Linked DNA regions of Caenorhabditis elegans. The protein of the gene in region 2 interacts with the protein of the main gene of each other region in a pairwise test. Each region holds a gene or a part of one and is shown on either strand. Other genes may lie near its edges.

Region 1 (6,048 bases), on a different chromosome or scaffold from region 2:
TTGGAACGAAAGATAAAATAAAGAAAAAAAGAGAAAAAGAAACATGCCGACAAGTTGAGGTTGTGAAGGACGGATGATAGAATGCACTATTTATTTGAAGGTTGTTTTTTTTTCAAAGCTGTTGGAGCCAAAAACAGGGTGTGACTTTTTAAAGCAGGTTTCAGAAAAGTGCCAAAATTCCGAGAATGACATTGCAAAAAAAAACAAGAGGTTCCAGAAAAGCGGCTTCCCGACTGCTCGGTTATTGCAGTATTCACGGAGCAATTGTTCTACCAGCACAAAAATTGATTTCAGGCCAGGATTGAACTGTTATGTTAAATTGTAATATGTCATACATATTTTACGAGACTGTTTACGAGACATTATTTAGGGAAGTTTTTTCAATTTGTGTCACACACTTGCCGCAGCTGCCAATAACTAATTAATAGTAGAAAATTGCTAGGTATTTACCTGAATTTTAATTTACAGAACAGAAAAAATTAATTAAACGTATATTATTTCCACAAATCTATGTATTTTGAAATCAAAAACAAGTTAATTTTTTAAATGATTTTTATTGCTCAGAAAAAGGAGACAAACATAAATCAATCAATAATAAATGAAATCAAGAGGAAGAAATTCATTCAATACTGAAAATTTGGAAAGATGAGTGAAAAAGGATAAGAGATATTTAGAGATGAACAAGAGAATAAATATTTCTTCAGGTTTGGGAAAAAGGGTAGCTACATTTGGCATATTGTAGAGGGCAGGGGATGGGGGGAAGTGTTCAACATATACAATCATAATTTCGTGCTTGAAATCTCAGAAATTTTTTTTTTCAAGTACAACGGCGAATTGGGTAATCGATGAAAGTTGAAAGAACGAATGAAAACTGGCTCGGTAAAGCTGGGAGAGGATAAAAATGGGTAAAGAAATGGGGACGATACTTTTGTAGAAGAATACTTTCAATTTGAAATTAGTGAATTACTTTTTGGATTTGTAGAAATACTCTTAGGGTTTCAAGAAATGAAAGAATACAATCGCTTGGATTTGTTGAGGAAATACTGGAAAACAAAGAGAAAAATACAGAAAAAGGTGGTAAATAACTAGAAAATGCTGGGGATTAAAAGGTACTAAGACCGGACTAAAGGGACACTCGAAAATTGTTGGAGAGAGATAAAGAGAGAATTGTTTCAGGGGAGAGGCTAGAATTGAGGTAGGAGCAGAAAATGTTGGGCTTTCAGAAGAAACAGTGAAAAAAAACATTTGGACGTAGCGATCTACTTACTACCCGAACTTTCAGAAGTTTTCAAAAAAAAACTTGTCTGAAATATTCAAGAAAAATTAATATCAATTCCCAATGCATCGCTCCATGGATAATTGACCAGCTCGCCTGTGGTTACAGTTGGACAAATCTGCTCCAGGTCATCCAAATGTGTTGTAGTCGTAGCGGCCGTAGCCATTGTGACGACTCCCGCCGAGTTTGGTGATGACGTTGATTGTTCAGAAGCACTACAGTCGGCGTATCCCGAAGATCCAGACGATAGACTACGCATGTCGTCCTGAAACTCATGAGTTTTGAACATTTCATGAGGATATTGTGCTGGTGGTGTTGAAGTTGGTGCTGGTGATGGTGCGAAGTGGTACATGTTATAAAGATTATGATTCTGAATCATTGGGTTAGGTATCTGAAGGAAAACAAGCGGTTATTAGGATGTTAAGCATGGATGCTGGGAAGGGATTGTAGTGGAAAATGGAGTACGGTAGGATTTACGCTAAAAGGACTAATAATATAAATTTTCAAAATCCAATGGCCAGTACTAAGAATTTTATGATTTAAATGTTTTTCAATATAAAAGATGAAATATCGACAATGTATTAGAAACTACTTAATCCACTTCAGAAAAATTCAAAAATTTTTGAACTTTTTTTAAAATTTACAGTCAACGGGTTTTAAGTACTAAACCTAAGTAAAAATTGAATCACAAGTAAGTGTTTCTATAAATTCTAAGGGCTCGAACAATTTCTCATAAAGTTAAATTTCTTCGGAAATTTGATAATTTGCAAAACTTTGATTGAAAATTTTGACAAATATAAAGTATTTTGAGTGATTAATTATTTTCTTTAAGATAAAATTCCCCACCTTTCAGAAAATAAAATTTGGCAATTTTCTAAATTTTTAGCCACTACATCCTACCGTACTCCCAAACAAAAAGTGCTTCAAACAAAATCTCATGCAAAAGAGACAACCCGTACCTGATCAACTGATGGTGGTGAAGTGTGCAAGTAGAAAGGATGATTACCAGCTCCAAATCCCGAATTATGCCCCATCATTTGTGGTGGCATTCCCATGTCCATACCAAGATTCGTCTGAAAATATTGAATTTTCCAAGCATTTCGTGATCTATAAAAACTAACCATTCTGAGGGGACTTCCTGCCGAATTATGATGTTGTGATGCAAAATGCTGTTGATGATGTTGCTGTGTAAAATAGTCATCATAAAATCCAGATTCAGGTGTCAACGGAGCATGTCCAAACTCGGAAGGTGATGGATACGATGGATGAAATGGCATCTTTTGTGCATGACTCATATGAGCATTTCCCATCCAATCTTGCTCCACTTTCACTGATTTAAAGTTTTGGAATTGTTGTGTTTCTGACTGTTGATCTGTGTTTGGACGTTTTCGTTGACGAGCCTGTGGTGATGCTCCACGTGGTGGGGCCTGTTGCTGTTGTGGAGCTTGGGGTTGAGCTGGCTGCTGAAGTGTTCCATCTGGATTCTTCTTTGGCTTCTTGCGTGGCTTGTATTTGTAGTCTGGATATTCCTGAAAAAATTTAAAATTACAATACAATTATTCGAAAAATCCGGTTACAGTATTTCCTGTGTGGCACAGAGGTAAGCTACTATTTGAATATTCTAAAATTTGATAATTTGGCAGTTGCCAAAAACGTCGAATATTTAAAAATTTCTGAGATTCGGAAAATCACCAAAAATAAAATATTGGAATTTTTAGTTTTTAATGAAAAGCTTATATTGTTTCACCTACCTCCTACACTGACTATAGTAGAAATTTGTTTTTCGTTCAAAATTCAAATTTTTTTTTCAAATTATTCTCTTTTTTTTTAACTTTTTTGAACTCGATAATTGTCGTATTTTTGAATTTCCGAAAATGCCGATTACGGAAAACTTTTGATTGGTATGAAGCCTCTATTATCAGCACAATACGTTTTGAAATTATTTAGTGAAAATACACTTGTTCAAAAATTATTACTGTATTTCTTACTTATATAGAAAATTCGGTATCAATATTGAATTGAATTAAACTATATTCTCCCATACTAACCTGCATATGACAAACTCTGAGTCTCTCAGCTTCAGCAACAAATGGAGCTTTTTCCTCATCAGTCAAACTTCTCCAACGACTTCCCAATTGCTTACTGATTTCTGCATTATGCATATCTGGCTGATGCTCACAAATCTTTCTCCGTTCCATTTGAGACCAAACCATAAAAGCGTTCATTGGTCGCTTGATGTGATTTGATGACTTTTTGCAATTTGTTGCATCCGAATACGGGGTCACTGATTTGGGAATCGCTTGTTGTGCATGCTGAAAATGTATGGATTTGTTTCAGAGCAATTTTTAATTTTTTGGTACTTCTAGGTTGAGAACATTTCTAAAAGTGCAAATGTCAAGTAACTGATAAGAAAAGAGTTTTCAAATTTGTTGCTCTTCCACTCTAGAAGTTTCAAAAAATAAGATAACAAGATGACCAGTGCAAAGTATCATGTTTTTTGTTTTTACTAAATTTATTACCTTGTTTACTAAAAAATTATTACAAAAAGGGCTGTGTCCACTTCCTGATGTCCTTTTGACAGCTTATCACTTATCAAAGTGTAAAGCCCATTGTTTCAATATTTACAACCAAAAAAACCGTATCACAAACCTTATAGCCTCCAGCTGCTGTCCCATATGGATGATGTTGTAATTGTTGTGACGTGGCAACCGAGTTAGACGATGTGGCATTTGTGGCTCCAGAAGTCGATGAGGCTACTGCAATTGCGGCCGCAGCCCAGTTAATCGGCGGCATCATATGCGGAGCCATTCCACAATCCAGCATGAAGTTGGGCGGTTTTTGGAGATCCATTTGATATCTGAAATAAAAAGTAATACGAAAAATAATATTGTTGAAACGGAAAGTGGAAAAATTAAAAGAGAAAGGTAAGAGAAAGTGAAATTCAGGAGACCGAATTTCGGCAGAAAATATAGGGAAAATCCAAAAAGAACGAGAGTTAGAGAGAATAAGAGATTCAAAGATGTCTACGATCCGTTTCCATGAGAGATTTCTACGAGGAGATAGACAAGGTGGCGTTCAGTGTATCTTTAGTACAGTATACTTTAGGATACAAGTATACGGTAGAATCTACCAAGAGTATACTTTTCCAAAAAGAAACGTAACCAACTATACAATTAGAAACTTTCAAGTAATAGTAAAGCAGGGTTCTAGTTGCCGGTCACTTGCTTACTGATAAGAGCCAGCACTGATAATTTTTTCCTGGAGAAAAGCTGGAACATGTGCAAAAGTATGGAAAAGGAGAGAGACGGCAAGAAAGGAAAAAATTCAAAATAAGAACTTAAATATCAACAATCATGACTACCACGATTCTAGCTGGATAAGTTAATTAGCAAATGACCGTAGGAGCTTAATCTATTCAATTTTTGATGATAAGCCTGACTGATTCTTCTTCGAGATGATCAGGTCAAACTGCCTTTCTGTCTCATTTTCATTTCTCTCTCTCTCTCTCGAGAAAAGGGATGTTGTACAACCCAATGACAAGAGTGATGACATAACAATACAACACAATAGAATAAGGGGGAGAAGCATCAGAAAACTGGTATTTTTAGAAAGGGGCAAAAACGAAGTAGGAGAATGAAGCAGAAGCTGTGTACTTCGAGAGTGCGGTAGTGAGGCTTCTCGCATGATGTAATGGTTTGACATTTGGTAATTGTAATTGGCATTGGCCAAACGAGATGATGTACTACTACTGTGTGTATATGTACGGTAGATTGGCATGTCATGAGAGAAATGGTTTGGAAATGGAAGTTTTCAGAGAGCAAAAGGTTTGACACATTTAGAGAGCATTCATCTTGGAAACCCAAGTACAGAAAGTGAAACAATACTATATAGAAAAGAATATCAAAAAGGGTGCCAAGAAAACAGAAATGAGAAAAACTAAATGGTAACAAGTATATCTTCCTCCTTACAACCACCGCCTCCCGTCCTGAAAAAGGCGTGTCTAGACCGCCTCTACGGCACTTTGCAAAGGACCACGAGGTGCCAAGTTATTTGCGGCAGAGTTCCGAAAGGAGGCAAGTAACTTGGTACATTGAGGTGGCTAGATTGCATGGGAAATTGGATAAACAAGAATTTTGGGATGAGTTAGACATGAAACTCAACTATTGAAATTCTGAATATAACAAAGATAATTGTATTTCCAATGAGAAATAAGCAAGGTATCTAGACAAACATAGATTTCTAATTCTAATAGATTCTTAAATGAACTGAAAAAAGGTGGCTTATATTTTTGATGCATACTTTGGTATTTTTTGGAACATTTCAAAATCTCTGACCGTGAAAAACCTTGCCATGTTCGATATCAAAAAAGTAACAACAAAATATTGGGTTAACTTTAACTGAAGAAACTCTCAAATATGCTTATTTCTAAAGAAAAGAGCTCCTAACTTTTGCCTACACAGTTAATTTGTCATGCTTTCAGCAGGTACCTCATAGACATTACGATGCACGATGTACAGATCGTCAACGAAGTCGGGCACTATATGCACATGGCGACTCTAAAACAGTCAAAATATGTGCCCAACGATATCGAAAGTTATGTGCAATTCTGCTAGACTAGCACACTCCAAACTAAAACCTATGATCAAGTGGTTACTTGATAACTACAGTAACCTTGATCCTTCTTCGAAACCAGCTTTTCCTTCTCCTCATCTCATTTAGCGTTCACTCTCGAATGAATCATGACTTCTGCCCCCTTACACCTTTCCTCCAAA
Region 2 (5,910 bases):
CTGGTTATCGTGCAAGTTATCGATAAGTTCTTGTTTAAAAGTGGGATTTTTTGGGGGTTTTTTTTTTGAAATTTCCGCCGAATTTTCAGAGTGTACATCTACAAAGCACCTGTCTCTCAATTATTCTTTTGTGATTTTATTGCAAAGTGTCACTGAATTTATATTGTCATTTCCGCTAACAATGCGGCAGTGGAAAGTACTCCTGGCAGGTGGGAAAATTAAAAAAAAAATTTCAAAAAAAAAAAAAATTTTTCAACAATTTTTTCCGCTATTTTTTCCGCTATTTTTTTTTGCTAAAAAACGACACAATTTTTCAATTTTTCAGGTATCCGTTCAGTTAACTATTTCTGCGCCTACGGGTACATGTTCTCGTTCTCCTGCATTTTTATGGTGCCACTGGTCAGTATGATGTGCATTCCGCCGATTAGGAGGGCATTTTTAGATTTTTTCACGTGTAGTGGATTGAAAAAACCAGCAATTGCAATTGTAGACAGAAGAAAATTCAAATTTGATAACGTTTATGAGAAATAAAATATTTGCAAAAAAAAAAACAAATCAAATCAAATCACAAAGTTAATTTCTACAACAATAAAAAACTAGATTTTGATCACAGTTTCAGGCACATTTTTTGACTTTTTTTTCAGGATTATATACAATTTAAAAAAATTCTTGGCATTTTTTTTCTGTAGGTAGTACTGTATTAGAATCGGCCATTACACATTTCGTAGAACTTCGCGTCCACTGAGTAGACATTGAAGACGTGTGAAATTTCTACGTCTTCCTGGAATCGGCGGGTGGCTCTCTGAAAACAGATTGAACTGAAATTTGCACAATTTTGAGCATTTTTGGTAGTTTTTGAGAATTTTGCCCGTATAGCGCAGTGGAATGTTCCGATCAAAAGACTTTTTGCACAAGCTTCGAAGCTTCTCAATTTGAAAATTCCGTAGGGAAATCCGTAAATTTTAACGCGTTTGGCAACTAGAATTGCGTCAAGGCATAGAGTCAAGGCACTAGAACTGCGTCAAGGCACTAGAATTGGGCCAAAGCACAAGAATTGCGTCAAGGCACTAGAACTGCGTCAAGGCACTAGAATTGCGCCAAGGCACAAGAATTGCGTCAAGGCACTAGAAATGCGTCAAGGCACTAGAACTGCGTCAAGGCACTAGAATTGCGCCAAGGCACAAGAAATGCGTCAAGGCACTAGAAATGCGTCAAGGCACTAGAAATGCGTCAAGGCACTAGAATTGCGTCAAGGCACTAGAATTGCGTCCAGTCACTAGAATTGCGCCAAGGCACAAGAATTGCGTCAAGGCACTAGAAATGCGTCAAGGCACAAGAATTGCGTCAAGACACTAGAAATGCGTAAAGGCACAAGAATTGCGTCAAGGCACTAGAATTGCGTCAAGGCACTAGAAATGCGTCAAGGCACTAGAAATGCGTCAAGGCACTAGAATTGCGTCAATACACTATAATTGCGTCAAGGCACAAGAATTGCGCCAAGGCACTAGAAATGCGTCAAGACACTATAATTGAGTCAAGGCACAAGAATTGCGCCAAGGCACTAGAAATGCGTCAAGGCACTAGAATTGCGTCAAAGCACTAGAAATGCGTCAAGGCACAAAAATTTTGCCAAAGGTCAATGCTCATTTCAAAAACATACACCCAAAATTTCATAGCTCTACGACCATTTTGAGCAAAGTTACAGCTTTTCAAAGTTCCAACGTCGACCGCGACGCGACACGCGACGCATGGTGAAAACTTTGAAGACGCGTAACTTTGCTCACATTTGTGCTACAGGTCTGAAATTTTTTGTGGCCGCTTAGATTTTTTTTTCCTTTACAATTTCAAAACTCACCTGCAACGCTGGCAACAAAGACAGTAAATTCGCCAGCCTCATCGACGGGTCCTCAATATGTCTCACATTCCGATAGTGGTACAGTATCTCTCGCTGAATCGCCTCTCGAATTCGTCGCGAGACCCGAATACACTCCTCAGATTGTCCTTCCAGGCCTAAAATACTTATTATCAGCTAAACTTATCCCAAAAAAAAAAACGTTACCAGTATCAAATAAAACCAATGAGCAAAGCGCGAAAAACTCAAAACTGTCCACATTATCCCGGAGCATCGGATCTGTGACATTTCGCCGGTAAATACTGAAACTCGATGCAAACATTCTGACTGCATCCTCTGAAGACATGAGCTGGCGGCCGTCTGGGTCGTAGTAGAACGTCTCCGGGTGCGAGCAGTCGATGTAGTCACCTGACGCTAGAATTATGACGTCACTACGGTCTGAAATTGTAAATTGAAAAACAGTTTTCAAATTTTCAACAAAAAAAAACCAAAAACTTACTATGAATACACGCAAAATGACCGCCCTGGAGAATCACGAATGGCAAGAAAAAATTGCGGAACAAAATTATCTGAAAATATTGAATTCTTTCGATAAAACTGAAATTTCAGGCTTTCCGGCCTACTTTCTGATCTTTGTGTAAATCTGCGAATCCGGGGTACGAGTTGAGAATCCAGTCGGCCACCAGATCACATTCCTTCGAGCTGACAATATTCGCCTCTTTGTAGCTCACCGCTTTTGGGGTTCGCATCTGGAAAAAAAAAATTGAATTTTACGTAGCTCAGTAAATCTACATCAAAAACTCCTGTAAATCTACATGAACTTTTGTAAATCTACATCAACGGCTCCGTAAATCTACACTGACTCACGTAAATCTACACGGACTGCTGTAAAAAATCTGCACTGAAAACTCTCGTAAATCTACACTAAAAACGCTCGTAAATCCACATTAAAAGTTCCCGTAAAGTTACACGAACTCTCGTATATTCACATCAGAAGATTCCGTAAATCTACACTAACTTTCGTAACTATACATCAAAAGCCCCCATAAATCTACACTGACTCCTGTAAACCTACATTAAATACTCTCGTAAATCTTCACTAACTCTCGTAAACCTACATAAAAACTCCCGTAAATCTACACTGACACCTGTAAACCTACACTAAAAACTCTCGTAAATCCACACCAACTCTCGTAAATCTACACTAAAAGCTCCCGTAAATCTACAATAACTCACGTAAACCTACACGAAAAACTCCCTAAATCTACACAAGCTTATGTACAAATTCACATGAAAAACTCCAAATTTTTTCATTTTTTTTTTCAGATAACTGTACCTGAAACACACTGCTGCCCTGATCGTGATGTACGACGCGGCGGACACTTTGCAGTTTTTCGTAATTCTGGCTCAACATGGTCAAAATTGGCATTCCGCATTCCTCGACACTGTCGAACGTGGAATTCGGGTTGAAACCACCAGGAGGGCCAAATCCGTCGCCTTGATTCGGAAGTGAAACTGATGAGCTGCCCGGCGATTCGACGTCAGAGCCACGTTTTCCGTAAGCGTCACGGTATTTTTGAACGGCTGAAAAAATAAAATTAGATTATAAATATAAGAAAAATTATCCCATATCTACACAAGCATCCGTAAATCTACACCAGCTTCCGTAAATCTACAGGAAACATTTCTGTAAATCTACACAAGCTTCCGTAAGTTTATGAAAGCTTTCGTAAATCTACAAAACACTCCCGTAAATTTACAAAAATTTCCGTAAATTACACAGACTCCCGTAAATCTACACAAGCTGTTGCAATTCAAATTTTTCGATTTTTTAGGAATAATTTTCGAATTTTAGATTACTTTTTCTAATTTTCTAAACAATTTTTTGGTGAAAATTTCAGAAATTGGCTTAAAACTCACCTTCTCGCTTCATCCCAACTGCCATACATTTTGCAAATCGACAAGCTCGGCACATGCATCTGATAGCTGAAATTTTGGCTAAAAATCGATAGTTTTCACGGAAAACGGCCTACTTGAAAGAATATCACAATTTCCATCTCCACGGCATCTGTACAATTTGTTGAGGGCAACTGAACGGCGGAAAAATGCTGCGCAGGCTCTGAAAATTATTGAAATTTTTGAAAAAAAAATGCACGTTTTTTCGGCTGAAATCTTTGAAAATTTGGCAGCAGCTTACCGACAGGCTTCTGCTCCAAAATGCACACCATTACCAACTTCTCCACAAATACTGCACGGCGGCTTCTCGCCTCGTCCAGCAGACATTTTTTTTGCTGAAAAACTAAAATTCGTTGAAAATAAGGCAATAAATAAGGTACAAATTGAGTAAAAACTGAAGCTTGTAAAAGTTAAAAAAAATTATTTAGTTGAATTTCTCCAAAAATTAGAAATTTCCAAAAATTTGAAAAATTCAAAAAACTTGGAATTTTTGGCTTAGGCTTCAGGCTTAGGTTTAGGTTTAGGTTTAGGCTTAGGCTAAGGCTTAGACCTAGATTTAGGCTTAGGCTTAGGCTTAGACGTCGGCTAATTCTTAAACTTAGGGTTAGGCTTAGGATTAGGCTTAGGCTTAGTCTTAGGTATAGGCTTAGGCTTATGCTTACAAGGGAAGTCTTTGAGGGGGTCCGTAGATTTGGGGTTCTCATGCTAAAATTCCTACAGAAGAGTGTTAGTTATATATATAGTTATAAACTTTTTGATACCAGCTACAAAGAAGAAAACAAGGTTGGCATTTGGCTAGTTTTTCTATTAACATTGTGTTTTGGAAAACGGTCACAACTTTTTGGTGGCTGAAGGTATCAAAAAGTTTATAACTAAAACTTTGTTTACTGTTATTCAACAAACATTTTGTTAGTTGATCATATTTCAAAATAATTTATCTCAACGAAGTTATGCAACTTCAAAGTTGGTTAAATATTTTGCACAAAGTTCGTGAGATGTAGATCATTTCGACGGTTTACTTGCGAATAGAGAGTTAAAACTTGTGTAATGTACGTTTCATACATTTCTAAACAACAGCATAGCAATTTCATAATTGTTTAGAAAAATGAAATTTTTTGATTTTTTTGCTTGGAGTTGATTAAGAAATTTTGAGCAAAAATGAAAAAAATAAAAATTTCCAAAAAGTGCGGACAATGATTCTAGGTTCCCGAATAAGAATAAAATCACTTTAAAAATGCGCAAAAATGTTTGAATGAGTTGTTTTACAACTTTATTCAACTTACAAAAATATTTCAAAAATAGAAGGTATCGAACCAAAGCTTAAATCTTATCAGACGCGCGCACTCCCAACTCGGCCACCGAAGACATTTTTCAACTCAATGTGGTGGGTGTCACATTTTCGGTGGTCACGCAGGCTGAGATTTGCGTGGATTGCATGGTAAGACAGTGGATTTCAATGGTGTTTTTAACTGAAATTTCAAAACGTCATAACTTTGCTGAAACTTGACCGGGGCAGCTAAATTTTTTGGAGAGATCATAACTAACACTCTTCTGTAGGAATTTTAGCATGAGAACCCCAAATCTACGGACCCCCTCAAAGACTTCCCTTGTTAGGCTTAGGCTTAGGCCTAAACTTTTTTTGGGCATTAAGCCTTCTTAAAAAATTCGAATTTCTAAAAATTTGAATTTTTTTCAAAAAGTATTTCAAAAATATGGATTTCGGAAGCTCGGAAAATTCGGAAAAAATGAAATTTTTTGCAAATTTGTAAATTTTGGAGTTTCAAAAAAATTGTAAAAATTTATAACATCACAAATTTGAAAGAAATTGAAAATTTTTAAACATTTTGAAGTTTCAAAAATCCATTTTAAGGATTTTTTCATTCAAAAACGAATTTTTCATTGAAAAAAGTAGTAATTTCTTATATATATTTGTCACAAATACAAGAAAAATGAAAATAAAAAAATGTTGGAAAAAAGAATTTGAAGAAAAAGAAAAAATGTTGGAAAAATGAAAATGATGCTTTCAAATGAAAAATTCTACAGAAAATAGTGCTCAAAAATACATGAAGCTCGCAAATTTAAAAAAAAACAAGTTTTCCACC
Region 3 (7,579 bases), on a different chromosome or scaffold from region 2:
GGTCGAATCAGGATTTGAAATTCGATGCACTTTACATTGCGTCAGAATTGACCCTTCCGATGACCCAATTCGGAAGAATTCGCAAAAAGTTTGTACCGTCAATTTGAATGGCAGCGACGCAATAGATTTGGGAAAATTGGCGCATCTAGGTTAACGAGTCGGGTGGTATGGCCCAGCCTGTCCCCGCGCGCGCTGCCGCGTGCCTGCCATCCATGGCTTGACCTTGGCAATGCGCGGATCTGTTTGCGAATTATTCGCGGTTCATCAACATGGGAGGGAGGAGGGGGGCAAAATTGCGGCACGCGCATGAGTGGCCGATGTTTCGAACCGTGCCACGCTCAGATTGTTTTATTTGACCTGACCAACATCGCAACTGACCTAGGCACTCGGCGGCGCCACCCAGCGCCGAAAGTAGCGCATCTCGTTGCACTTTTAACTTGTATACACAAACTATTTTTGACACACTCGAAAAGGGCCGACGATCTTTTTTTTCCATCTACTGGTGCCATGAAGTGAATTTTTAAGGGTTACGAAATAAAAAAAAGTTATCTTTTTTGCACGTACACACAATTCCCTTAGACACTCTCAAAAGCTAGAGGTTCCACATGACGTTATGAAATTCGAACTTGAAGGCGCCAAGCCTAGGAACCAATTGGAACAAAAAGAGTCAGCTGGCAAATTCAACCTTATGATATCGGTGCTCTGATCTGGCACTGCGCCAATTGCAAAGGGCACTAGCTCTTAACCTAGACAGTTGTGACTGTGTAATCTCGCCACGTACCTTGATAAATTCGATCTCAGCGACATGGTGTCTTGGAGGGTGATTGTGTGATCCTTTCGTGCATGCGTTTTTATTATCCATGGTTGTTTCAGCTCGGCATTTGCACCACTGCCCATCATGCATTTTCTTAGCGCAAACGCATCTCCAAGACTTGAAGTTACGTTCTGGAGCAATCTGAAAAAAAACAACTCGTGATGAAAGTCACCACTTGAATGATGGTCTATGATACCTGATAAATATTATATCGGTAGCCTTGATACATAAGTTTTTGATATCCTTTGAAAGATGTGACAATTTGTGGAATGTCTGGATTGTATCGGACAAATGAGATCTGAAAAAAAACTATTATTATCGGCCCAAAATCGCCAGTTAAGGCGGTGTTTCCCGGTGTCAGGTTGTTTTGAAATTCGTGTGGGAAGGAAGCCCTAAATTTTCCGTCTGAACAAACACCGGTCAACTATGCAAACGTTCTCTTTCAAAACTATGTTTGCCCTTCGGACAGTCCAAACAGTTATCTCAAAGTACTTACCTTTTTCTTTTCCTTGTCCGGTGATAGTGGCATACTGCTCACGCTAATCGGAGAAATGGCGGAAGTATCAGTGGAAGAAGACGAAATGTCTGATGATCCAGGCTTTTCAAGACCCAGCATTGTCTGAAAAGGAAAATTGATGTGTTAAATCAAATGAGCAAAAAAAAATAGCGATGGGAGCAATAGAATAATAATAACCAAATGACCTCTGATGAATTAGAAATTGAACTCAAACTAGACAGATGATGAAAAAGAGATATGACCAACGAAGAGAGATGTGACAAAAAAAACGAGCGGACCTGCTGTTGGATAGCGAGCGAGGTTCAGACACCTAGAATCAGACGATTTTTTCTCATCTATCTCTCCGCCCCAGGCACTATCAGTTGCTTGGGGCGGACAAATCAGCTGATGGGGCAGTCGAGAGAGGCGCGTGCCATTTGAACTGATAACCTATCGTGGCAGGCACCAACCGGCTGCCAACTAAGACACCGAATACTGTTATTTGGATGAGGTGCGCGAGAACGAGAGTGGCGAAGAGATAGAGGATGAGTGACCGGCAGGAGGCACAACTGACTGTACGGAAATTGGCGAGAAACATGCGTTGAAACGAGATTGACACATTCACTTTTTTTTTTGATTTTGGTAAATTTTGTTGAGGTGGTTGGTCGAAATTTCAAAAACAGACTAAAGAAGGGTTAAAAAGAATACAGAAGTATATGATTATCATTATTTAATTCGGAATTTCTAAAGAAGATAGAACAAAAAGTTGATAGCGGGGCAAAGCAAAATTCTCGGAAAAGAAATACAGTAACCAGTTTCGATGGCACACATTCCGCAACATGCGGCGACTTTTATCGAGTAATGGTGTTTTGACTTCGTTGACCCACAATTCCTTCCATCTATCTTCCGCCAGCCTGATCATAATACTTTTTTGACCGCTTTTCCATCCATGGAATACTGCGAGGAAGTGGCGCGAGAAAGTAAAGGCATGAGGTATAACGAGTACCGTTCCAAGTTTCACTTTTTGTTTTTGTGGCGGGCGAGGGGGTCATCGTCGAAGAGAAAGTTCGAGTAAAAGTGACCAAAAATGAAGCAAGTTTTGCAAATAGGCACCAGAAAGGGGGTCTCCAAAAAGTTATTATATCCGGGCCAATGGAAAGTGTGGGATGCCAGGACGATTACCGAAAAAAGGGCCGCGCCGTCGCCGCCCGCATGACCTAGCGCGGAAGACACGGATTGACACCGGATTGATGGATTCGGGAGAGAAAAAAAAAACCACAAAATTAGGTAATTGAGGGCGAAGATTTTGATAAGAAAGGCGGAAGCCAACGGCTTGACCCAATCGCGTGGCACTAGTCCGCATAACCTTGATGGAAACTATTACTGTTGCAACATCGGCAAAGTGCAAGGTCCTATTGGACATCGGCGCAAGACGGCGTCAGCACTTCTCGCGTACGATTCGCCATTTATGGCGGTCAGAATTCAAGTGTCTAGTAATCAGTGGCCGACAGAACAAACATTTTTCTTATCAGTATGTATATGCTTGGTTCAGCGAAAAATTGCATAATACCGATCCTGGAACGGTCGAGCACCACTGGACAACAAAAATATTTGTTTGGCATGCTTACATGCTGATAATACCTATTTCAAGATGATGGGAATTGTATAGAAGCCGAAGGTGAAAACATATCAAACGTTAAAATTAGGAAGGTAATCGTAACAAGACTAGTAGTAAGGTAGAAATACAGTAAGCGTGAATCTAGAGAATCGCAGTCTGAAGTTTCACACCTTCCGCTATCCATATTCTACTGGTAGTCTAAAATTCCGATGGCGGCGTCGGGTGGAAGTGAGAGGGGGGGGGGGGGGGCGGTTCAGTAAGGAACGGGGTCAGGCTGCCTGCCACGAAGAACCGCGAGGGAGAAGGCCTTTGCCTCCTCCATCTCCTCCTACTTCTACATCCACAACATCTTCTTCATTTCAATCGGCCGCCTCCCCCCTAAATGAACAGCCAACCCCGCCAAAACATCCGCGATCCGATGGTGTGAGGCACGCGCGCGCATACGCCGTGCCCTGAACCATTAGTAGTGGATGATGATGGTGATGAGGAACGAAAATGAAAGAAGCGTCTAACGAATGCAAAAAAGATCACAAGGGGCAAAGAGGTGAAAGGCGTGTGTACATAAAAACAACTCTCGAAATCCGCCTTGTCCGACATCCAAGTATGGTAACTGCGTCGGCAGCAGCAATTTGGCGCCAGTCGCCGATCCACTCTCACTTGGACGTTTTGCCCCCAATATGGAAGGTTTTTTCATCTAATTATTTGACCGGATGTCAATTTCTATGTCTATCACGAAACGTTTAAAGGCAGATTCGTCAATTTGAAAAGATCTGGAAAAAAAACATTGCTGGAGCAAAATTACAAGTCTGGAGTCGGCTTTTCGTTTCCAATTAGTCAAAAAACACACACATACACATACGCCACCATCTGGGGTTGTCAGGAAAGGTGATGGATGGACATCTCTATGGCAATCGGGAGAGGGCCTAGAACAAAGGGGTGCCAGTCTCGGATCGGTCAGATGAAATCGTTTCTCTCCTACAAATTTTTCGAAATTTTGCAATCGTCAATGATTAGTTCGATATCCAGAAAATTGGTATAGATGATATCACATATTTACTACGGGATCCATGAATGCCCTTCATTTTCACGTCGCGCCCCCCCCCCCCCCCCCCCCATTCTCGAAGAAGTCTTAGAAGCTGCAAAAGCTCGTAGTCAATCTTGTCCAGGATGAGTGAAAGGCGATTTTACTTTCTATAGCTGAACCTTGATTTGGAGAAAGTGAAGAAGGGGCAGCTAGGAGAAAAGAAGAAGAGTGGGCATTTACGCCAAGAAAAAAACTGAACACGCAAGACTGGTCACTTCATGAAACAACATCTAGCGCTTCTAAAAACTGAAGTGGTCTAGAAAATTAGGAGAAAAATTGTGAAATGGAACAATGAACGCGCCAAGGCAAAACGAGTAAAGTGCGTTACTGGTGCTCCACCCTTCCTGCCTCAGAGATTGACCCCCTGTTCGAAAATTCAAACATGAAATAGTGTAAAAGAGAAATGATACACAATTGATAGCTCTAGTACAGGGAACAAGGTTAGAAAGGTCATTAGTCAACTATGGAGTGCTTCCAGTTGCCACCACTGACAGTAGAAGTGTGGAAAGTATGTGTGCGAGAGCCCGGCGTGAGCCAAAATGGAAATGGGCGGTCCGAACGGTTTCGACAGTGGAGGAAGTGGGAGCCATCCGAGTTGTGACAACCACGGTGGCGGGTGCCCGGCCGGAAGGAAGCACACATCAAGAGTACAGTACGAAAGGCCTTTCCGCAAAGGGGGGGGGGGGCAAACGGCAAACAATGACCCTTCGGGGCGTGTATATATTGTGCTTCGCATCAGTTTGGCCACGTCTCGCGCAGTACAGAGAGTGGCACGTAACGCCACTGACCAGCCAAGTGCAAACTTGTAGACAGGCATCGCAGCGCCGAGGCACTCCTCCAACCTAGTACTATATTTGCAAATGTTGGTTCTCTCTGCCTTCATCTACTTAATCTTTCTCTCGAAACTGTTCCCTCGAAACCGCGCACTTTATATTACTGGGTGGTTTTAGATGTTGCCCTTTTCTTCCGCGTAAAGTCATAAAGAGGAAGACGTCAGAAACTATGAGCCACAGAACGAAAAATACTGCTAGTTTTATATCAAAACTTTTCGGAGAAGGCAAGCAAGCGTCGACGGTCAGAAAAAAAATATAACGACGAGGGCGAGCTGCAAGTATCACTAAAAGTGAAAACGATTGGCAAGCGGACAATAAACATGCGGTTACGCAACAAAACTTTCGCGCATTGGTCATGCCCCGGCGCCTAGCACTGTCCGGGCTCGTGTGCAAAGGTCGCTGACTCATCTGGCGCGGCCCATTGAAGTCGAGCAGGGGCAAAATGGTACTGTCAACTGATATGTTGGTTTTTTAATCAAAGAGCTGATTGGCAATGGTACAAGCCAGCACTACTTTCCGCCCGTAAAGGAGAAACATAGAGAGCTTTTTGGTTGCAAAATGTAGAATGTTAAAATTATACAAAAGATAAAAACGCATATGAATACTGATAATTAACTGAAACTGTGAACCATTGATAAGTAAATGTGTACCTATCAATTACAATTTACTCCAACATTTCCCCGATTAGAAAACTAAAATGTGAGAACACAACAAAAAAAACTACATTAATTTTAAAAACCGCTCGTCTCCAAAATTTCTTGACATCTCCCAGAAAATAAAAATGGAATGATAGATACCAAGTCAATTTAATTCATATTCCCCCCCGTAGCCATATTTGGCAGGCAGAAACAAACGACGACACGTCACTGAAACGAACGGGGTGAATAGGAGAACAAACCGAGAAACAGAGAAGCACACGAGAGGGGGGGGGGGGGGGGTTTATGGATCTCAAGAAAATGCATGATGTTAAAGTTTTGATCATCACATCGTATTCTGACAAATAGATAGAGGGTAACTCAGCACAAACCCCTTGGCTCACGCAAAGGACAAGAAAACAGTTGTGCAAACTCAAACCACCGACTGAAAACGCCTGTCGCTGAACAAATCTAACTGGTCACTCACCTGGTCAAGCCGCCAGCAATTTTTTTGAACTGTTGTTGTCATCATCAGCCCCAGTTTGGAATATCCAGAATGCTTCCTTTTCTCGGTGTTTACTCGTTTCGTTGCCCTGGAATAAAGTACACATTTATATTGATCATAACAGGGCACAAACTGAGCAGGGTGCCTTTCACGAAGAGCTTGAAATGACCTTTTAACACACACACATACACACATCATGGTACGAAATACATCTGGGAAAAGGGTGATGGTTGTAAGAATAAACTAATAAAATAATGAGCAATTGGAGTTGCACTATGTGTGTCAAACTGGAATTGGAAATTGGAAAAATCTCAGTTTTTGTTCGAGGCATAAACTCTAAAAATTTCCACTTTTTGACTGTCAGTAAAAAAAACATTTCAAACGATTTTTTTTGACTTTTTAAAAGTTTTAATACAAAATTTGATTATTTTGGTATCATATATGTAGCACTGCTCCACTTTTGAAAAATCGTTTTCTAATTGGTTACAGTGCTTTTCAGAAAATTATACAATGGTTTGCAACCTGTGGTGTGGTGTGTGTGTGTGTGGGTGTGTGAAAAAGGAATTAAATACAAGAAAGAGATGAGTTGGATGCAATAGATGGGTATATGGTGACGACGTCTTCGCCGGACGCAGATTGTTGTTGTTTGTGGCAGTTCCGCGCGGATCAAACAAATAGTATGTCAGCGTGTAGATGCGCAGGCAGATACAAAACGCGGCGTGCGGGCACTAAAGTTCGTGACCTGTGATGGGTCGCGGCAAATTCGGAATAGACCGGGGGGAATGAGGGAGAGGCGGAAAACCAAAAACGGCGAGACACAAACTAAGGCTCAAATAAATGACGAGTCGAGCGAAATACGTGATTAAACTTTTCCAATACAGTCTCAGCGTATTTTTTTTTCGGGCCAGCGCCACCCTCCACGCTCGTGAGACACTTCTATACTACTTTATGAATCCGGCAAACTTTTGGATGCGTGAGTGTGCCGCTCATCATACGCCCACATTTGTGAGATTGGAAAATAAAAGTGCAAAAAACCTGAAGTAATATGCCTTTTTCTTGGTTGCTTACATCAACTGGAAATCACATTTTAAAATTGATGAGTTCAGTGGGGTCCCTTGTGTAAATATCAATTACTAAAATATTGGCACTTTCAGTGATGTCTTCAAAAAGCAATGATTTGATTAACTTCTCGACCTAATGCGATATCTGAAAAAGTTCACAAGCAATTCTTATCTTGATTTAACTGATGGTCTATCCGTCTTTGTTGTCGCTTGTCAGTACCACTTGCCGTGCCGATTCGGTGCCGTCCAGTGTTTCGCATCCAATTGGCCAACGAAAGGTCATTCATCCGACTGAACTAAATTATGGCATGGCAGAATGACAGTGTTCAGGGGTAGAGTTTTTTGAAATTTGCAACTATCTGCATAGATCACATCAATTTATTTTCAAAGTGTGACTGTTCGGCCTGTGCATTATTTAAAAAATTTTCACATGTTCATCCAAAAATCTCCAGTGCAGTCCCAAAACCGATGGAAATCTAGAGAAAAAAACCCGGAGCAAGTGATTTGTATAATCGAGATATAATCTCAGTTGT
Region 4 (4,796 bases), on a different chromosome or scaffold from region 2:
ATTTTTTTGTTGATATTTTTATAAAAGAGGCAAAATTGTGAATAATATTTCAAGAGCAAAACTCTATAAATACATCAAACTTTAGAAAACTGTAAAATACTTTTTTCTTAATTTGTTTTATTATTAATGTTGGAGATGTAATAAAGTTTTCAATAAATCTCGGAAATTCAAAGTGTTATCACTCCTAGAGATGACTTTTTTAATTGGACACTTTGTGAAAATTATCTTCAGAGGAGCATTTTATACTAGAAAAATTGATCTCGCCGTTTTTTTTTAATTAGGCTTTTAAAATGCGAAAATCTTCATTGTCCTAAAATCAGGAGTAATGTTTTAAAATCTGTTGGTAGAAATTTGAAATTTCTTAATCTAAAACTCTTGGCATTTCCTCCTTAAAACTGCTCTCCTGAAGATAAAAATAATCAGCATAACTTTTGCAAAATTCGCATATCAATAATTTTTAGTAAATCTTTTGAAGTTTTCAGAAATAAAATCAACTACCATAATTGAGAAAATCATATTTCTAACTTTCAAATATATAAAACAATTAACAGAAACAAATGTAACAATTAATTCACACAAGAACAGAGTTAAGTATTTTAAAACATCCCAACAGAAGATGAGGAACATTATTGATAAGATTGATGCTGGTACTTAACAATAAATTGAACCATGCTATAACTTTGAAAAAGAATCGACATTTTTATATTTTAGAAGTTATGATTGGCGTAAACGAGATGAGCAGCAAAATCATATTTTCCATCGCATAGGCTTCCACAAAGTGAGCATTTGAACGGAATATCATCTGAGTGGAGTCCACTGTGCAAATACCACATCACTTTGTCATCGAATCTGATTTTACAGTAATCGCAGTACTGAAATAATTGTTTTTTTACAAAATACGTTTTTTCCCAGAGGTACATACCCAGCTCTCTGGACCATCCAACTCTTCTTCTTCGGGAGTTTCGATTTCCGTAGATGGTGTTGGAGACAACTCTTTTGCGGATTTTACAGATCTAGAGCACTGTGGCAATGGGGCTTGTGAAACAGTGCTATGAAGCGGCTGAAAATATTATGTTACCAGTTGAAAATTCAATTTCAAATTTCTTACAAAGAGTGGTGCGATTTCAGTTTTGAAAAAGTCAAAGATTCTATCAAAATCATCTGGATTCTTGATGGGGTTCAAGATTGAAGTAGTGGATTTTGGAAGAATTGGAGCAGGTTTGAAAGAGAAGAATTTCTGAAAACTAAGGAGATTTATATATATCTACCAAAATCCAATCTATACATAGTGCACGTCTGACTTTAGTAGAGATTTTGTAGAAATAGCGAAAAAGTATTTTGAAATTCAATTCAATTATGTGGAGAAGTTCGAGTATAGTGAATTCTATTTTAGATCAATTTTTCTAATGTTTTGAAGCTTTCAAGTATTTTCGATTGCAAGACCCAACGGTTTTCAAAATTTTACTTTTAGTCTCAAATGAAAAGTTTAGTCAACATTCGGCAAGAATCGGATCAAACGTAGGCTAAACTTAACACATCACAGCTATAACCTACTCGTAAGCAAGTAGCTGATGTAAAATCCAAATAAAAACAGTGTGTGCTTCAATTCTTCCACAGAAAAAAGTACTCACCGTATGATCCAGGTGTGCAGTATGAAAATGAAGCAGAAGACGATGGGAACTGTTGAACCATTTGATGCAAGATTTACATTTAGCTGGAGACGATCCTCTTATGATATGCTCCGAATCTACATGAAACTGCAAACTCGTGAAGCTGTTGAACTTTGAATTGCACGCTGTGATGGGACATTCAAAGGTATTTCCTTTCTTGATATGGGTCATCATGTGCTCTTTCATCTGAGTTGGATTAAAAGTTGAAGAGATTGTTTTCTAATCTGTTTAATGTTTCAAGAAATAATGCTTAATGCTTTATACTACTAGAAAGCTCGATCTTTCTCAAAGTATATTTGAAAATACAACTTTTCTTGCATAACTGAAACTTTCATATAAAAAACTGATGGTCAGATCTGGAAAAAGTAAACGACTTTTAACAATCTTAACTTTGTTTTCAATAAAAATATTTAAAACAAAGCTTTTAAATTTTCTCTAGCTAACAGTAAATTAAAGCCAACGTATCAGTACACATCCACAGAAAAATAATTCCCCTACATCATTTGGCATGCTGGGTGCTAATTCTCTTTTAATTTTTTAGTGCTTTGGCATTAAACATTTATTTTTGAACAGATTCGCAAATCACAGATACCAGTAATCGTAAATTGCATTCAGTGATTATTAAAAACATCATGAAACACATAATTAAAATTTTTGTGTCAATTTCTGAAAATCAATAACACAGATTGTTTCATTCTGCTTTAAATCTGATGTACGAGTGATAAATTGAGTCAACTTTTAGGAAGCTTTTTTCTAGCATTTTTTTTAACGTTTCGACAAAAAAATCGAGTTATTTGTAAGCGTTTGGAATAATTTCAAGTAATTAACTTTCGTAAAGTAGGTTACTTAGTGAATTTTTTTGGTCACTAGAGATAAAGCTTGTACTAAAACGACTAAACTTTATAAAGAAACTTCAATAAAATATCCTCTATACAAATTTATCGGAAAACCACAAGAACTAACCCGATCATTCCGAAAAAAAGGTCTTCTGCAGAACTGACATTCAAACTTCTTTTTTCCACTGTGCATCACCTTATGACGATTCAAGTTTGTCTGAAAAAATATACATGGAAATCAAAATTTTTCTACGATTTTAGTAACTTGTTTTTTGTTGCTTTTCGATTTGAACAATGTTGTAAATTGATAATTAAAAAGAAATTTTCTAAAGATTTGAGTCTTGCGTCTCAGTTTTTCAAGAGCCAAACAAGAAAGTAGTTTACGAAACCATAAGTAACCTGGTAGGCACTTTAGTTTCTACCTATAACCTTTAGTACTCTCCACTCACCTTATTGGAAAACTTCTGGTGACAAATATCGCATTTTTCCATTTTGTAATTTGGAAGCTGGGAGGAATAAAGTCAGAGAGTGTCAGAAAGTGACTATAGGATTTTCTATTCCAAACTTTGGGTGGAGCACAAATTGTTTATAACTTCTCGGGTACTGTCGAAGGTCATTTGGGGGAAATATACAATCCTAGGTGTCAGATATCTTAACAAGTCGGAGAAGAAGCACATCTTCCGACATAACAGATAAGCCGGCTGCCGCTACTTGCCAGATGGTTGGTGACAAACTGGGGTGATATATAGTCAGAGGTCACTTTCATGATTTGGAAGAGAAGGTAGCAAATATAGTGGACAAATTGATATTAAATTACAATTGGGGTCAATTTTAAGAACAGTTACAGTACTTTGGACTGTACGAGTAAAAAAATCCTTTTTTTTTTTTAGAATTAAATTTCCTGTTTCATAGAAAACATTTGTTTGACTGATTTTAAATGTTTCATTCGGTTTTTATTTATCTCTGTAAAGTCTTTTCATTATTGTTAGAATTCAGAATTTTTACAGATTCATGAATTCACTAAAATTTTATGAGTTTCAGGATTTGTTAGTTTCAACAATAGAATCCCCCATCTCCTGCAAAACCGCAAATCACGTGGCGAAAAAAAGCGTTTTGTTCATAGCGTAATGCTCTTCCTTCTTCCTAATACATTAACCATGGCACAAATCGAATAAATTAGCATAATGTGTCCAGGAAGAAGACGACATTGGAAGACGTTTCTGGAGAAAAAGGGAAAAAAGGAAATCAAGTTTTTTCTCTTTTACCTTGGATGTCTGTAATATAGGATTACATGCCGGAAGAAGGTGAAGAGTGCAAAAATATTAGTTTTTAATGGAAAATGCTTTCGATTTTAATGTCAGGAATCGAAGATTCTCCGTGATAAACTTCTGGAAATAATATTTATATTTTTAGTTATCGGCTTTTTGGTGTATGAGATCTGATTTATTCAGTATCCAAAGATAGCTGGAGAGGTCTTACTCAAGAAAATGTTTTCATTTATTTTCAAAAAAATATCACTGTTTCAACAAACCCTTAAAATCAAGCTATAAAAGGCAGAAATGTTTTCAATCGAGATAAATAGGCTCTGATATTTTTTCAGATCTGAAAAATAACTATGAGTTTGATGGAAAGAATGAATGCCATTTTTCAAATTGAACACGTTTCAAATAGTCCATAAAACAGTTAACAATTAATTAATTTTAATCGGGATCATGCTCGACCTCTAAACGTATTATTTCCAAAATTATCCGGTGAAGATTTAGATAAAATATTTAAAAATCCGTCACATTTTTTTCGCATTTTCCGAAAATTTCACAGTTTCAACATAGCTAGAAATTAAATGTATTTTAAATTCAAACTGATTGCAACGGAATTTTAAATGTGAAATATTCAAATGTTTTTAACGTCCAACAAAACCACTGTTTCCTCTGTTTACAGTTTCTAAAGTAGTCCAAAAACCGAAAAATGAAAAAGTTTTGATTTTATTCTCTACTTATTTTTTTGCTATTTTTCATCTTGTACCTTCTACATCATCACTAATTCTGTCTAATGCTCTTGTTGCTCTTCTTCTTCCTCTGCTCATGTTGTTACTTTTTCCTAATTCCCAGCTTTTTTCTCTCTGCTTACCAGTCTAAATAATAAAAATGAGAAATCATAAATACTAAGTTGAAACAAGATACTGCAAAAGTGATATGAAATTAGTTTTAGTGATGTAAATCTTTAACTGTTTCAATATCCTTGTAACTACAGTATACTATAGTATTGATAGTTTTGATAGACTTCCTTAACG

What was found.
Region 1: the proteins of nhr-70 (region 2) and sem-2 interact in a two-hybrid assay, tested with the Caenorhabditis elegans proteins (one large-scale study listed by BioGRID).
Region 3: the proteins of nhr-70 (region 2) and peb-1 interact in a two-hybrid assay, tested with the Caenorhabditis elegans proteins (one large-scale study listed by BioGRID).
Region 4: the proteins of nhr-70 (region 2) and ehn-3 interact in a two-hybrid assay, tested with the Caenorhabditis elegans proteins (one large-scale study listed by BioGRID).

What each region holds. Positions count from the first base shown.
Region 1 is NC_003279.8:5,203,996-5,210,043, forward strand, and holds sem-2 (Transcription factor sem-2), read right to left. Parts: upstream 4,134-6,048; 5' UTR 4,127-4,133; coding exon 3,926-4,126; intron 3,589-3,925; coding exon 3,325-3,588; intron 2,806-3,324; coding exon 2,398-2,805; intron 2,350-2,397; coding exon 2,236-2,349; intron 1,542-2,235; coding exon 1,314-1,541; 3' UTR 535-1,313; downstream 1-534. UniProt on the Caenorhabditis elegans protein: Probable transcription factor required for embryogenesis, vulval development and cell fate specification of the postembryonic mesoderm (also known as the M lineage).
Region 2 is NC_003283.11:18,614,834-18,620,743, reverse strand, and holds nhr-70 (Nuclear Hormone Receptor family), read right to left. Parts: upstream 4,158-5,910; 5' UTR 4,136-4,157; coding exon 4,050-4,135; intron 3,972-4,049; coding exon 3,886-3,971; intron 3,839-3,885; coding exon 3,773-3,838; intron 3,437-3,772; coding exon 3,189-3,436; intron 2,602-3,188; coding exon 2,476-2,601; intron 2,422-2,475; coding exon 2,352-2,421; intron 2,291-2,351; coding exon 2,060-2,290; intron 2,011-2,059; coding exon 1,856-2,010; intron 803-1,855; coding exon 701-802; 3' UTR 532-700; downstream 1-531. Other genes in the region: Y69H2.1 (Serpentine Receptor, class V), read left to right, coding at 1-40, 90-209, 326-531.
Region 3 is NC_003284.9:2,209,484-2,217,062, reverse strand, and holds the start of peb-1 (FLYWCH-type zinc finger-containing protein peb-1), read right to left. Parts: upstream 6,013-7,579; coding exon 5,968-6,012; intron 4,822-5,967; exon of another isoform or gene 4,531-4,821; intron 3,606-4,530; exon of another isoform or gene 3,483-3,605; intron 3,428-3,482; exon of another isoform or gene 3,046-3,427; intron 2,829-3,045; exon of another isoform or gene 2,481-2,828; intron 2,258-2,480; exon of another isoform or gene 2,072-2,257; intron 1,834-2,071; exon of another isoform or gene 1,617-1,833; intron 1,434-1,616; coding exon 1,311-1,433; intron 1,244-1,310; exon of another isoform or gene 1,122-1,243; intron 1,113-1,121; coding exon 1,011-1,112; intron 956-1,010; coding exon 782-955; intron 425-781; exon of another isoform or gene 162-424; intron 1-161. UniProt on the Caenorhabditis elegans protein: Putative transcription factor. Binds to specific sequence motif 5'-[TC][AGT]TGCC[GA][AT]-3' in regulatory elements of target genes such as myosin myo-2. May modulate gene expression, perhaps acting in opposition to transcription factor pha-4.
Region 4 is NC_003282.8:5,416,199-5,420,994, forward strand, and holds ehn-3 (Zinc finger protein ehn-3), read right to left. Parts: upstream 3,025-4,796; 5' UTR 2,998-3,024; coding exon 2,956-2,997; intron 2,724-2,955; coding exon 2,634-2,723; intron 2,265-2,633; exon of another isoform or gene 2,244-2,264; intron 1,971-2,243; exon of another isoform or gene 1,950-1,970; intron 1,857-1,949; coding exon 1,632-1,856; intron 1,289-1,631; exon of another isoform or gene 1,268-1,288; intron 1,238-1,267; coding exon 1,109-1,237; intron 1,061-1,108; coding exon 923-1,060; intron 873-922; coding exon 708-872; 3' UTR 501-707; downstream 1-500. UniProt on the Caenorhabditis elegans protein: Together with the zinc finger protein ztf-16, plays a role in gonadogenesis, specifically in somatic gonad precursor cell development. This is possibly by regulating tra-1 gene expression.